Linked DNA regions of Saccharomyces cerevisiae S288C. The gene in region 2 interacts genetically with the main gene of each other region. Each region holds a gene or a part of one and is shown on either strand. Other genes may lie near its edges.

Region 1 (3,076 bases), on a different chromosome or scaffold from region 2:
TTATTGGCTGCGTCCTCATCAGATGTGCTAGGGATGTGCCATGACCAAGCAAACACACTGTGCACTTCGTTTATTTTAACTTTCATATTTTTATAATCTGTATTGCCACTTTGCTTGTTAAACTCTCCCGATATTGTACAAAGTTTTTGAAGAATGCATTATTTTTTTATCTGCAGACACGGAAGATACAAAAGTTATCTCGGCAGCTTACCCTTTATATCGAATGCAGGCGTAGACAAAAGTGCGTTGCATAACTTACCAAGGTGAAGTGCATGGACCAGCAAAGGATAGAAGTTATTGTAAACATCGAAACCATAAACTTATATATGTATATATGAAGGCATTAAGCGTTTTATGTTTTCACAACCCTTTTAAGAGATGTCTTGGACAAAAAAGCTTCTTCGTTGGTGATAGCTTCTTTATTCCAACTCCGAAACGCCTTGTGCTAGGAAAACTACGCCTTTCCAACTACACTGCATTTCACGACCTAATCATTCACGACCTCTTTATTTATATATTTATTCTTAATTTTTTCTTCTTTCCTTTTTGTAACAATTTCAATTATTGGAAGGTTTTTCACGTTGCTCAACCGAGAATTTACCATCACTCCAGACTTGTAATGATTCTAAAAGTTTCCCTTGAGTGTGCAGTTTCTTGATTTCTTCATTACCTCCTCTTGATACTCCATTAACCAAAAGGTTTGGAACAGTTCCTCTACCGGTCACCAACTTGATATATTCTTGCAGCTCTTCCCCATGTCCATGTTTGTCAAGTTCTATAATATAGTAGTTTGGGATAAACTGATACTCATTTTCAAGCAGTTCCTTCATGCCCTTGCTATATGAACAGGTGCTTTTACTAAATATTATAATCGGAGACAAGTCTAGTATGAGGGAGTATTCTTTTTGAACATTAAAAGCTTTGGTTATTCGCGACCCTTTATCGTTTTTAATGGCCGACAAACTATCATCAACCGATGCTATGGGCTGTTGGAGTCCCACCTTCTGTTTTATTTCATTAATTTCTTCGTCTACTTCAGAGCTCCCCTTATTCGTGGTAGAAGTCGGCATAGCAGCATATTCCCTGGAAGATCCTCCAGCCATATTGTCCATATTAGTACTAAATGCTTTAGAAGTTTCCTCTTTTATCTCTACCGTCAAGAAGTTCGCATTTTGCGCTACGAAAAACACTAACAACAATAATAGCGTTGTAATGCTTAAAATTCTAGCATTTCTCTTATTGGAAGGTATCATAATAAAATTGTTTCTATATTAAACCGCTAGGTTGCTAAGGTTTCGTCTTTTCTATCTTACGATAATTTGCTTAAAAGTTCATTTAGAGAATAGATAGTGATCTTTCCCAGTATAATGTTTTCCCGATTTCGCGAACGCTCCGCCTCAGGCGCCCCGGGACGCGTCATGCGCGTTCCAGAAAGTTAACTAACTGCTAGTGCATTCAATTTCTCAAGGCGTAGTATTTGGGATCTATAAAGCCTTCGACATTAAGCACTATGCTTAAAAGCGAACAGCCTGCGCCACTACTTAAGAGCGAATCTTGTGTGGAGGGATGACTAGGTCCAAAGAGGGAGAAAAGGATCTTGCGGAAAAGTCAACAACACTAATCGGTAGCTGAGTCTGTCAGTGCATCCTTACTGGCTTACTATTTTCATTCATGCTGCAAGTAGATTATCCTCTAGTTAAATTAAACGCGGATGAACTACGCCATTAAATCCATCATAAGAAACTAATTACTACTTTTAGGAAATTAGCCAACTAAAAACTGCTGAAACGCCACATTTCACATAAAACCCCACGGAGCAGTAATGGGAGATCTTAAGCTCAGCCCAGTACATATGTCCATCAGCCTTGAATAGCCACGGTGAGTTCTCGAAGCTTCCTTCCACCTAGTCCAGAATATTTCTTGGTAAATGGCTCGAAGTTTTCGTATTAAACGATGCTATCAGCGGCATCGTGAAATATTGAAATATAAAAAGTATTTACGCAACCGAAAAGGATATTAAGACAAACCCATACAATAGCCCATAAACCAAGCAAATACACATCTCATGTCAGCTCAAGATTATTACGGAAACTCTGCCTCCAAACAAAGCGTACGTTAATTTTACAAGTTTTGCCTTTAGAAGATCACATCGTACTAACGAGCCCTTGTATTTTCATTACATCACTTTCGATTCAGTATTCTCGTCCTAGCGCTCCACCACCAGGATATGAAACGGCGTCTAGAGGTTACGCTCCATCGCAAAGCCAACAGAACTATTATCCACCTCAACAGCAGCAGCAGCAGTATCAGCAACAACCTCAATACTATCAGCAACAGCAGCCCCAATATTACCAACAACACCCACAGCAGCCCATTTATGTCCAACAACAACCGGCCAGTTCTGGAAATGAAGACTGTCTAGCGGGCTGTCTAGCGGGTTTATGTTTATGCTGTACTTTGGATATGCTGTTTTAGAGTATCTCCATATCTTGTGGGAGCAAACCCTTTCACACAAATCCACTATATAAAACAAAGCACAATTGCACCTCTGATCTTTTAATCTTAATTAAATAAGCGTGATTAAAGTGTTCATGCAAGTAGATAATATATAATGATGATAAGTTCGAAAATGCCCTTATAAAAATTAAACCGCGTGCTAGAAGTAAACCTCCTTCAACCTGCCTCTTGAACGAATAAGCTTCTTACAAGAATCTGCGGGACATAATTTGGGGCCATAATTATCCGGATGAGCCGAACCCTTTAGTTGAGCTAGTTTCTTTTTGGGCATCTTAGATTTTTTTTTTGCATTGTCAATCCTGGCGAAACACCTACCACAAAATGCATGACCACACGATGCAATAAACGTTCGTTTTGATAAATCTCTATCAAGCATTGATGGTCTGGCTAGGGTTTGGTAGGGGCAGTGGAATTTGTATTTTGACACTAACCCTTCAAATGAAACACCACGATCCTTTTGACTGATTCCAGTAAAATCATCCGGTATTCCGACCCCCAATTCTGCGCCACACAAGCAACAAACAGGAATATCCTCGAGTGTTTTTGCTAAATCGTCATC
Region 2 (7,872 bases):
CGTAGAGTCTTGATTCATTCTCGGAGACCACATAAAATTGTTAACACCGTAGTCCATTCTAGGTGTCGCAATAGGTTCTCTTTCTAAAATTCCTGGAGCAGGTTCCAGATTTACGTTTATATTCGAAATGTGAGACGATACTGTGGGATCTTTAACATCCCATTCGGGTTCAATGGTACGTTTCATCCTGCAATGAAATTTCCATCTTGTTACCACCATCTCCAATACATCGAAGTTTCTTTGATTTTCTAAGTACTTGTCCACTTTACCCAGGATATATAGATGATGGACATATTGATCAATACCTAGACATTCCCTTGCAGAATAAGCTGTATAGAGAGGTATTTGTAATAACAAATCCGAGAATCTGATACATCCATTATAAGCATTCGTATAGTGAATGCTTTGTACAAATCTTCTGTACTGTAACTTCCTCTGTATGATCTTTGCTTTATCAATCGTATTCAGCTCTTTGTTCAGTCCGATCAGGTCTATTTTGACGTCATATGGATCATCTGGGTTAACCTCCATGTAGTTCTCGACTAGACTTTTTATTGTCAATCTACCTTCCCAAATTTTAAATGAAAGAGGACCGTCAAATGAATGCATTATTCTTGGGAGGTAGGACAGCTCAAGCTCGCCAGTTCCATCAGTATCAAATTTGGACCAAGCTTCAATGTATTTTTTTATCTCCGATCTGTTGATGCCAGAGCGAGATCCACCGCTACGGTAAACATAACTGAAATTACCAATAATCAACGAAACAAACATATTCACAAAAATATACATGGAAATAATATTCCACGACATTAATAACAAATAGGCATATGTCTCTGATCCACAGTCCGTATAGGTTGAATTATCATCAGAGGAGCAATAAGGTTCTGACACAGTTAGGTCGGCCATGATATAATTCCAGCCCTCACCAAAACTACATCTAAACAGAACAATCATGGATTTGATTACAGTTCTAAAATTTATGTTATCGGTCGTATTACTCCCTAACCTTGTTAGGCCGAAGATTTGATTCAAAGCAATAGCATATACTAAAAATAAAACCCCCCAAGTGTAGGTCAATGATAGAATAGGCGGTAAGCTTGCCATTGCGGTTTCTAATAGTTCAGTTAGTGTGTCATTTTGAGGAATAATAAACAAAAATATCACTAACAGGAAAAACCCCTTTATATTGTGGAACCAATAGTGAGAGGCTGGAACGTGGAATGCTACAGCGTTCATAATAAAGGCTATAATTATGATACTGAGTCGTATGCTGTTCCATTTTTGCCTAAAATATAATCTTGGTCCTTCACCGCACATGTGAAGTGCCTCTTGAATTAAAAAAACACTAGTGGAAAACATAAAATAAACACCTTGATAACCTATCAAGTTTCCTGGATTGTAGCTTCGACTCAGGAGCATGATTATGTGCAAATAAAGTACTACCTGAAGAAACGATGCGTAGTAGAAATTTTTTTTCTCCACTGCAAGTTGATAGAAAAATTGCCTAACTCTTGATAACTCAATTAAATTTGGGATAGCTTTTGGCTTGGCCTGAGATAAAAGTTTCTGGGATTCCAGCCACGCCTTTTCCTCAATGGTAAAGTAAGCGCTTCCTGTTGTCCTTGCTTGGTTGTTAACAATGAATGAAACAAACAAGTTCAGGATGAAAACCATACTTAAAAAATTAAACAGAACGAGGAATAAAGCATTCCCTGCTGAACCCATTACCGTAGCGGGTGTACCTATTCCTGAACTATTCATCATATTTTCCAACAAATCAACCCATCCTTCCAAAGAAATGATTTGGTATAATGAACTAAAAGCGCTTGCGAAAGAGTCCAAATGAAGATATGGTTGCTGGTAAACCCTTGGAGACATGATATCCCATTGAAAAACGGAATTTGAATATTCATTGTAACAATCTGCACGGCCCAAACTTCCGTCATTGCAAGTACCTAAACGGCCTTTAAAAATGCTTAAGCCCCAAACTGTAAATGGAAATAGCAAACTGAGTGAAATCAACCCAGCTTCAAAAATTTTATTTAAACCATCAAACATAACTAGGTTAAATGTTTGACGAGCTGTGTTACTGATCGTGAGGCATCTGAGGGCCCTCAGGGCTGTCAATCCCTTGAAAATCCTAGACAAATTTCCATTGTTTTTTAGGTATGCAATTAAATTAATCCACATTGAGATTAGGACACAAAAATCAATAAAGTTCCATGGATTCCTCAGGTAAGCATTTGGAGAATATATAAATCCGTCAGCTACTGTTTTCACGATAAATTCAATTGAGAAGGCACCAATGAAGGCGCAATCTAACGCCGAGGACCAATTCCAAGTTCCCATCTTGTGATGCATACGATATAGAGGCGTAACATAACATGAGCAAACAATTAGTAAAATGGTGGCAAGTGCGAAAATGAATACAAATACATCTCTTTCAATATGATGAAAATAGCTCCTTTTATTGTATAGATCAGTGCTATCCTCGAAAAATCGTGATCCATCAGTCCTTTTTCCAGTGCTTGGTGGTACCAAGCGTTGACAGAACCTTCGAAATCTATGCTGAGGAGAAAAGAAATAATATGAGTAATTGAATAAAGGGTACTTTTTTAAATAATCTAGCTTCTCATCCTCGTACTCATTCAACTCCAAGATATACGTCCTCCCATTTATATCGTTCGTTTCTGTAAACACAACGTCACTATTTTTATAAAATGGATTATTAGCAAACATTCTCAGCCTTTTTAGTGACGGAACCCCAATTGTGAGCTTTGATAAGCCCTTTTTAAATAGGTTTTCTGAAGGTGGCTCTTTGAATTCATCGGCCAACTCCCCCATATTCTGCGCTATGTTCATTATCGCGGTTCCTCTCATAAGAAATTGCTTAAAATCTCTTGTATCTTCGTTCCTATGACCTCCAAAGAATTTTTTACGAATTCTCGCAACCAAACTAGCGTGTGTATATTCTTGTATTTTCTGAGGATAGACGAACTTAAGATAATGCTTAATTTGCTGTGGTCGTTTTTCTTCTTCTTTCACTTCCATGCTTTCTGATATTAGGGCAATGAAAATGTTCAAGATCACTGAGTTGGATAGTAGAAACCATATAATAAAAAATACTGAGCAAAAAAAAGTTGAGGAGATGTTTGGTGAGTGTTTTTGGAGGGCATATAGGATATCCGTCCAATTTTCAGTTGAACCTATTATAAACAAAGAAAGAAATGAATTCGGTAGTGAATACATTCCAAATGGCTGGTCTGCCATTTCTTCTGGAGGAATCACGCCTTCGAAATACACAGCCATGATTATAGCAACCAAAAAGGTGAAAAAAAAGTAAAAAGACGATAAGTTCCAAATCATAACACCATTACTCAATATTTGTTTCCATAGTTTTTTTGTTAAATTGAAAGAAATAATCACCCTGTAAAATCTGGATATGTGGAATATGGATAGCCAGGCATACATATGTCCTAGAACCCCTTCAACAGCCAGGCAACTAATAACCAGAGTAATAATTGATATAATAAAATCGTAAACGTAACTAGGTTTTGTTAAAAACTTCCACATATTGGGCAGATATAATACTAACCTTGCCAGTGATTCGATGAAGAGAACAATCGAAATTCCCCTGTCAGTTTTTAGAAGGATATTGTTACAGTTTGCCGAAGTCGATACTTTAACAGAGGCGCGCATACCTATATCGCAAATAATAAGTATGACAAAGATAAACTCAACGTGGGAATAAATAGCTAGTCCTTTTTGGGACCAATTTGGGAATTTTGTCTGATTCGCCTTAAGCTTAAAATATTTCCAGTAGCCTGTTACTATGCGAGCAACATAACCTGTCTTTCTAGAACCATATATGAACTTTTTCTTTTTGTACTCCTCATTGGCTATTTCAAAAGATGATACCAACACTGCAATGAGTAGATTTAGCAGCCAGATAGTTAAAACAAAGATGCAAACAATAAAAAACAAACAGGCAGCCATTTCATCCGAATCCATCGTATAGTACATTAAGTCAGTAAAAGTATTCGCACTCATAATGACAAAAACGAGCTCCATGGAATTAACAATATTATCAAAACTAATTCTGCCGTTGTAGGGGTTGGCATTGGAAACACATTTCGAATATTGTGGGCAAAGAAAGCCTTTTGAAACAGAACCTTCTGATCCGTCTTCATAGATATAATTTTGTTTTCGTTTTGTTACTGGATCTAGGTAACCACCACAGAATTGCATATCGTACTGGTAAGTATCGGTAGGATCTTCAGGGTTAAACCATACACATTGTCTTCGAAAAGAGCCCTGAAAAATCTGTACTCCCAAAATCCCAAAGAAAATCCAAAAGTAAACTAGCATTGAACTAACATTTACCAACTGTGGGATACCATATTTCAATCCCCTTAGAATTGAGGGCATACCAGTATCCACGTTTACAAGTCGAAGAATCCTTAATATAGCAAGGGGCTTGAATATTCTTATGCCTGTTTTTGTATCATAACTTTTTATGGATAAAAACATACCTAGCCAAAAACTGACAGAAGATACCAGATCTATTCTATTCCACGATGATCTCGCAAAGGCTCTTGGGGTGCCAAAAGGCCTCTGATTTTCCTTTGCCCCATAAGGTTTCGTCAGGGAAGTACTCAACGAACTTCGTTGATATTTTGTCTCTTCTCCCGGCGATATGATCCTAAATGGAATAATGAAATCTATTAGCTTTCTACCATACTTTTCTCTCAGATATATGTATAGTTTCATAATTCCAGATCTCTGTAAGATTGATTTATACTCACGTCCATAGGCTTTAAACATTTCAGAATCGTCCCAAAATCCAAACGCAATTATTTTAGCAATATCATTGCCTGTAAAGCAAGCTGATAAAATAAAAATGAAATAGTCGGTCCAGTTAGAGAAACGGTATAAAAAAACCACATTGTGAGGGTTATATGTCCTTATCGCCAGGAGAATGGCATAAAATGTTAACAAAGTGTTGTAAAGTAACGAATACCGCCTATGCAACAAAAAACGAGCAATTTTTATTCTTAGCGGATTCGTAGGCGAGAAAACCCCAAGAGAATGTCCATAAAGCACAAAGGGCCTTGATTCCAGTTTTCTTTGAAGGGTTTCAAAATCTAGAATGTCTTCAGCATACTCAATAACTTCTGTTTGGTCTTTATCTTCTTTTTGCGGTGATAAATGATGAAAAAACTTTGGACTGGGTTTCTTTCTTGAATTATTAATAGAGCCTTCTAGACCCTCAGATACCGAACCATTCTGCGCGGGTTCGGGTGTTAGATGAATTGATCCTGGAGTAGCGCTTGCTCCTACATTGGGTGTATGAACGTCAGGTATAGATTCTTGTTCTCCTTCTCCTCTATCTTCTCCAACGTCTGATACAGGACGGCTTTTTTCTGATTTTAATTGGGGTAGCCATGTCAGGCCCTCTTCGTCTATTGCACTTTTAAATCCCTTTTGCAAATCTTCAAAATCATCCATATCATCAGCGGCAATTAGCGATAAAACCTTTGCCGACCGTGGAGGCCTATCCGTTGAGCTTGGTGAATTAGAAACACGCCTACTAGATGATCGGCTATAACTACTGAAGCTACGCCTGCGTAGCCTTTCATCATTTAAATCAATATACTGCGAACTAGACTTGGCAGATTTTGTAGAGGGTGAAACATTACGCCGGGAAGATTCAGCGGCACCAAATGATGCTGTTTTAAGTGAGAGTTTAGGCCTGCTCAAGTTTTCATGACTACTCCTTCCGACACGAGTACGAAATATGTTGGAGATTAAGGAGCTATCTTTATCATTTCCATTGTACTCGTCACCTTTTTTTTCTTCAGTACTGTGGATGCTGCTCTCTGGTGGCACGATATTTAAAGCTGGTGGGACCAAAGCTTGTGGTTTTGATTCTAGACGGTTACCATCTGTTTCGCTGTTATCCTCAACATTTTCCGTCATTACTGCTGCATTGTCCCCAAATGGATTGGTATTTGGCTCAAATGGTTCCGTAAGCGTCCTTTTTCTCCCCTGCATAGTACTAACAATATATTCTATTTAGTAATGCCGTGTATTTTGATTTTCCTTATGTTAGCTTGTCACCAACCATTGATTCATGATCTTCTATCTCATCTATATTTATTTTCAGTGAGAATGCCGAAATGTAGAATATGAAAAAAACCTACCAGAACATAATACCAAAAAGAATGAAAATTCCTCTGTGAACAGGAACCTTCGAATTCAGGGGCGGTTTTATACAGTTAAATGACATGCCAAATTACATTTTCTGGCCATACGAATCCTTGTTCGAGAATTCCGCAGCTCAAGGACCTCAGGTAGCTTTGGCAATTTCATTTGAGAAGACGCATTTTGTTGTCTTAGGTGTTTGCGAACCTCAGTATTTAGAAGAAGTAAGCATACGGCCCCCTTATTCAGTGGTAGCTACTAAGAACAATGGAGCGGAGGGTTGGAACTACAAAGTTGCTGATCCCTGTAATGTCCATTTTAGAATACCCAAGCTGAAATTTATGCAATTCTATTCTTCTGATCCCATCTCGCTCATCATACCAGAAAAAGAAGTTGGTCTTCATAGTAGTGTGGGTGAAACTCTGAACTATTCTAAATTAGAGCAACATCCAAGATACAAGAGAGATAATAAGAAATTGAGTGAAACTTTGAACATCATTAATCTATTCCCCGCATATTGTAAAGCATTAAATGAGCTTTACCCGTTTATTCAAACATCACAGGAAAATTTGAGGGGTACTATGCTTAATAGTGTCGCAGCTTGGTGTTCATCTACTTGTATTTATAAAATGGTCGCAAAAATTGGTTTTTATTTGACTTTTGTGATCTGCTCTATTGCTAGTCTCGTATCCTCGTTATTAAATTATTCGCACTTTCAGTTGGTAAATTACTCGGCATTTGTCCAGCAAATCGATCTTCGTTGTCAACAAATTTGCTATTTCCCAGTACAGTATGAGCGTATTAATAAGAAGGATAACATACAGAATGTTGGCTCTATGGTGGAAAAAGATAATTCTAATAGTCAATTCTCACATTCATATATGCCTTCTAAATTCTATCCCGATTATATTTTATTGTATAATACAATTTGGCTTATTATTAATGACATTTCATTTGGTTTAATATTGGGGGCCATACTTATTGAGAATCGAGATTTCTTGGTGTCGGCATCCCATAGAGTATTGAAGTTTTTTTTATATGATTCATTAAAAACAATAACTGAAACGTTAGCAAATAACCCCCTTGGCATCAAATTAAATGCAGAACTTGCGAACTTTTTGAGCGAATTATTTCTTTGGGTGATAGAATTTTCTTATACCACATTCATAAAAAGACTCATTGATCCGAAAACCCTATCATCTTTGCTCACGTTAACGATATATATGATGTTTCTCGTTGGCTTTTCTTTTGCTGTTTCCCTAGCGATTGATTTTTTTGCAATTTTAAGTTTTCCAATATATGTTTTTTATCGTATCAGCAGTAAACTGTACCATTGTCAGTTGAATATTATGGCTAGTCTTTTTAACCTGTTCTGCGGTAAAAAGAGGAACGTTTTACGAAATAGGATTGACCATAACTATTTTCAACTAGATCAATTGCTATTGGGAACATTATTATTTATTATTCTAGTGTTCTTGACTCCCACAGTGATGGCATTCTATATGTCATACACAGTTTTGAGAATGCTAACAATAACTATCGAAATATTCTCGGAAGCTGTCATTGCACTCATTAACCATTTTCCATTGTTCGCATTATTACTTAGGTTAAAAGATCCTAAACGTCTACCCGGTGGCATTTCAATTGAGCTCAAAACCACGGTTTCTA
Region 3 (4,270 bases), on a different chromosome or scaffold from region 2:
AATAGTGCAAGTAACGAACGTGAGTCGAACAATCAAAGAGTGGATTTGAACGCTGCTAATGATGGGACCAGCGCAAACAGTGCTTGCAGTTGTTAGAGAGGGGAAAATAAATATATATAAAAAAAAAGTCTGGGCAAATTGAGATAAATAGATCTTCAAAACGGGAAAGATGAAAGTCATAATTTATCGTACCTAGAAAGGAGAGGGAGTTTTCATTTTTTACCGTAATCGTTGTTTTTCTTTTCTTCTTATAATTTGTAAATTTTTTAACTGCATTAGATCATTATATTATCTTTCAAAACGCCAGTCGTTTTTATTAGACCTTTATATACGTTTCAAAGTGGTTTGTACACGTTAGTTTAGTTAAACTTTTGTTTTCATGTAGACCAAAATATAAACTTATTTTATGCCGAAAATCGGGAGATGGATTAGTTAATATTGTAAATAATGATAAATTAAAGGAACATTAAATTTACAAAGTTGCAATGAGGAGCAATATATATATATATATATGGATTTCTGAGAAATTAATTAAGCAGTATTTGAACACATGTCGTTTACTCTTTCTTATCCTTTATGTCTAATTTTTCGAGTAGATCGGTAATTACAGCTGTCAAGTTTTCCACTTTCTTAGTGAGCTCTTTGACTTCATCTTTATCTTCACCAGCATCATCTTCAGTGTCATCGTTATCATACTGTTCGAAGGAGGGACTGCATTTTTTAACGTTTTTATACCACTTCTTAGGGACTTTAAAATGGACATCTTCCTGCTCTGCTGTTCTTTGCAGTTTTAGCGAACGGGAATTCTTTAACTGGGTGGCTCTCATGCCAGAATTTCGGTTATCAGAAAACAAACCGTCATCATCATCCAAGTAGCCATCTGTCAAATCCCATGGAGTATCATATTCATTGGCATCATCGTTTAACCTTTTCATCCTGTTATATTTTATCCTTCTAGCCTCCCGAGTTTCTTTAACAGAAATAAGCAACAAAAATGGGCTGTACACTATTGTCATTACAGTATAGCTCAAATCTTTAGCACGCTTCGGTGGAAGAATACGAAAGATAGGTGTCATGAACACTTCAATTAAGTTCAATGGAGAAACATAGACATCTTCATCAGGTGCTCTAATGTATCTCAACGTCTTTTGTGACATCAAAGCCATGTACTCGTCATCTGCATTGTCAATAACTTTTTGGTACGCAGTCGAATACAAAGCAATTAATATATTCAAAAGGATAACCGAAACAATAAAATAGTAACCATAATACAGTATTGCCGCATATGGGGGAGCGAATTCTTCGAAAACATCAAAACTACCAAGACCCAAAACGGTGATTGTTAAATTACCCAGGATGGGTCCGGTGATATCTCTCTTACCATCTGCGGAATCCAAACCTAAGAAACCTTGAGTGAATCCTATCATTATTAAGAATAGAAGGAAGAAAAATACAATGGATTCTTTCATCATATGTTTTAGGATAACCAACATAATCCCAATAAACCTTTGTGATTCAAGGTATAGTAGGAGTCTCGACCACACAAATGGTGCTGCACAGGATAAGACTCTATATGATATTTTATCCCAATCTTCTGAAGAGTATTTTGCATTAAGGGGCGTTACGCTCATTGCACGGAACCCCATAGCAAACGTGATTATCAAATATGTGGTATCATTAAATAAATTCCAAAACGATAGGTGCGCATAACCAATATAATAAAGCTTAGTGAGCTCATCCAAGATGAAACCAGTATTGAAAACATAAAATATGCTTTCTAACAAATCGAAAGATTGGACTCTCTCAGAGTCCTTACCATTAACCACCAAGGTATAAAGCCCTAGAAACAAAAATGAGAAGATCATCTGCAAATAATTTTGGTATACAGGCGCCTTTAATCTTACGGGGTTGAAATGAGAGATCAATGACACTTCCGCCAGTGAATCGTCCTTGATAAAAGTTGTGGGATCCAAGCCATTTTGGACTATCCATCCTCTCCATATCCATTTTAAACAACGCTGAAATCCACTCGATCCTATCACTGTAGTACAGTGCATATCTGTGGCAAGTTCCAAGGCATTCAACGGTTCTTGATCTTCATCGTTCTCGTTGATTACGTACCGACGCAGCAGTAACTGCATGAAAAGAAACTGCAGGTCTCTTGTCTCCTCCCTTTCAATTAACAATTTACATAACTGTTGTGAGGCTAAATTTCTGGTTTCGTAAAGTTTGGCATTGTGCACTTCCATAGTGGCCAATATGGAATACCACTCACAAACTTTAAGAAGTGAAAAAATAATGACAGATTGATATTTTCTTTTGTTGGCCTTGTCTTTAGGGTTCCCGCCACATGCTTCATAAGCCAGCTTCACAACTTTTGGAGATAAAATCTCAGAATGGTCACAAACAATATCATTGGGATCGTAAACAATAGGTACGACCTTATCAATTAAGTATTTCAAATTTAACGTAACCCTGAGAATCTGTCTCGGAGTGGGGGCCTCAAATCCAAGAGATCCATTGTTTTCCGGCATGCACTGTTCGTTAGAAATTGGCAAGTGCAAGTCGCCGTTGGCTGATACCATAATGCTCCTGTTCTAGTAATATTATATTTTATAACTGAATTCTATTGCCTTACCAAGCCACTGATTAATGACAATTGCATTGAATAGGCTCTAGCTGATCCTCGAAGGATACTGACTAAATTTACCACATATTTTCAGCTCTTATGAGATAACTCCGACATAGCAACAGTGTAGGAGAAAAATTAAAAAATTAACGACCCCAGTGAGGGTTGAACTCACGATCTTGCGATTAACAGTCGCACGCCTTAACCAACTTGGCCATGGAGTCTAACTTTGTTGTTTTAGAGAACGAATGAAGAACTTATTATGACGATAAAAATATGTCAAGAGAGGCCCAAGAATGTATAAATCATTGTAAAACCAAGCAAGTAACAAAAATGGTCATGTGACAAGAGGTGGTGACATAAAAATAACCAAAGGACTAATAACTAGAGAAACAATAAAATGAGAAACTAAAAAAAGAAATAAAGCATTGAAAATCTCATTAGACTAGTTGGCTCATTTCCATGGCAAAATGTACAATTGTATCTCAGTAACGTTATACTCGCTCCCTTTTTAGGCCAATTTTATCCATTATTCTCATTCTAAAATAGCGGACATAACGAGAAAACGATTTACGTTAGAAGTGATAACAACTTTGGCGACCGGAATGCTGCATGAAAAATTATAACAAAAGGCCCCTCAAAAAGCTAAGGGACAGGGATGTTGCTGCAATTGGAATAGTATAATCGGCCGTCAAAATTATCAACTAATAGCATTGGCTACTCCAATTTGGACTTACTGGCTGGTAATTGACTTGTATAGCATTGTCTTAGCTTATTATTTTTTTTTTGCTGAAGAATAAGTAGGATAATTGAAGAAGAATAGCTAAGATAAAAAAAGATAGCTAGTGCATTCTGAAAACTTCAATTGCGTGGTACATACAATATGGCCAAAGAAGATACTGGGGTAACAGCACCAAAGAAGCCCGAAACAGCCCAAGTAGCTAACATAAATGGGATAGATAAGTTAGAACCTCCAAAGACGAAAGAGGAAACCGAATCCAGTAAAAGCGTGTCATCTGAGAAGGCGGCACATGCTAGTGATGAAAGCTTCAAGAGAAGTATCCATGAAGCTTCTTATGTCGGCTGGAAACAGATTGGTGGCTGGGAAGACAAAGACGAATTAACTTTAGATGATGAATTGATGGATATGACTAGAGAAACCTTCTTAGATAACATCATACCGGACAGCCTTTACGGTGACTGGTATCATTCGGTAGCCATTTTCTTTATCGGAGGCGTGGCATCATTTGCACTTGGTCATTATAAGTTTTCAATGGGGTCGGCCTTTTTTGTCATCGTTATCACTTCATTGTTGTATAGAACCTCTGCTAAAAAATACAGAGGTTCCATAAGAGAGTTAGTCCAGAAAGAGTTCACGGTGCAGAAAGTGGAAAACGACTATGAATCCCTAGAATGGTTGAATGCCTTTTTGGATAAGTACTGGCCCATTTTAGAACCTTCCGTTAGTCAATTAATCGTTCAGCAAGCTAATGAACAAATGGCTACTAATGAGGCGATTCCCAAATTTATTACTCAACTATGGATCGATGAGTTGACACTTGGTGTTAAACCCCCCAGAGTTGATTTGGTGAAGACTTTCCAAAACACTGCATCCGATGTTGTTGTGATGGACTGGGGTAT

What was found.
Region 1: of CCH1 (region 2) and GRX6, changing one suppresses a phenotype caused by changing the other (phenotypic suppression), as found in Saccharomyces cerevisiae (one study listed by BioGRID).
Region 3: of CCH1 (region 2) and YVC1, changing one enhances a phenotype caused by changing the other (phenotypic enhancement), as found in Saccharomyces cerevisiae (one study listed by BioGRID).

Annotation. Positions count from the first base shown.
Region 1 is NC_001136.10:430,507-433,582, reverse strand, and holds GRX6 (glutathione-disulfide reductase GRX6), read right to left. Parts: upstream 1,254-3,076; coding exon 558-1,253; downstream 1-557. Other genes in the region: APC11 (anaphase promoting complex subunit 11), read right to left, coding at 1-86; YDL009C (uncharacterized protein), read left to right, coding at 335-658; YDL012C (uncharacterized protein), read left to right, coding at 2,066-2,110, 2,197-2,475; SUMO-targeted ubiquitin ligase complex subunit SLX5, read right to left, coding at 2,657-3,076.
Region 2 is NC_001139.9:922,878-930,749, reverse strand, and holds the start of CCH1 (calcium channel protein CCH1), read right to left. Parts: upstream 6,055-7,872; coding exon 1-6,054. Other genes in the region: GPI1 (phosphatidylinositol N-acetylglucosaminyltransferase), read left to right, coding at 6,288-7,872. UniProt on the Saccharomyces cerevisiae protein: Voltage-gated, high-affinity calcium channel that functions together with MID1 to mediate calcium entry into cells. Required during conditions of environmental stress.
Region 3 is NC_001147.6:486,022-490,291, reverse strand, and holds YVC1 (Yvc1p), read right to left. Parts: upstream 2,586-4,270; coding exon 558-2,585; downstream 1-557. Other genes in the region: Rab family GTPase VPS21, read left to right, coding at 1-96; TCB1 (tricalbin), read left to right, coding at 3,513-4,270. UniProt on the Saccharomyces cerevisiae protein: Required for release of calcium ions from the vacuole in response to hyperosmotic shock.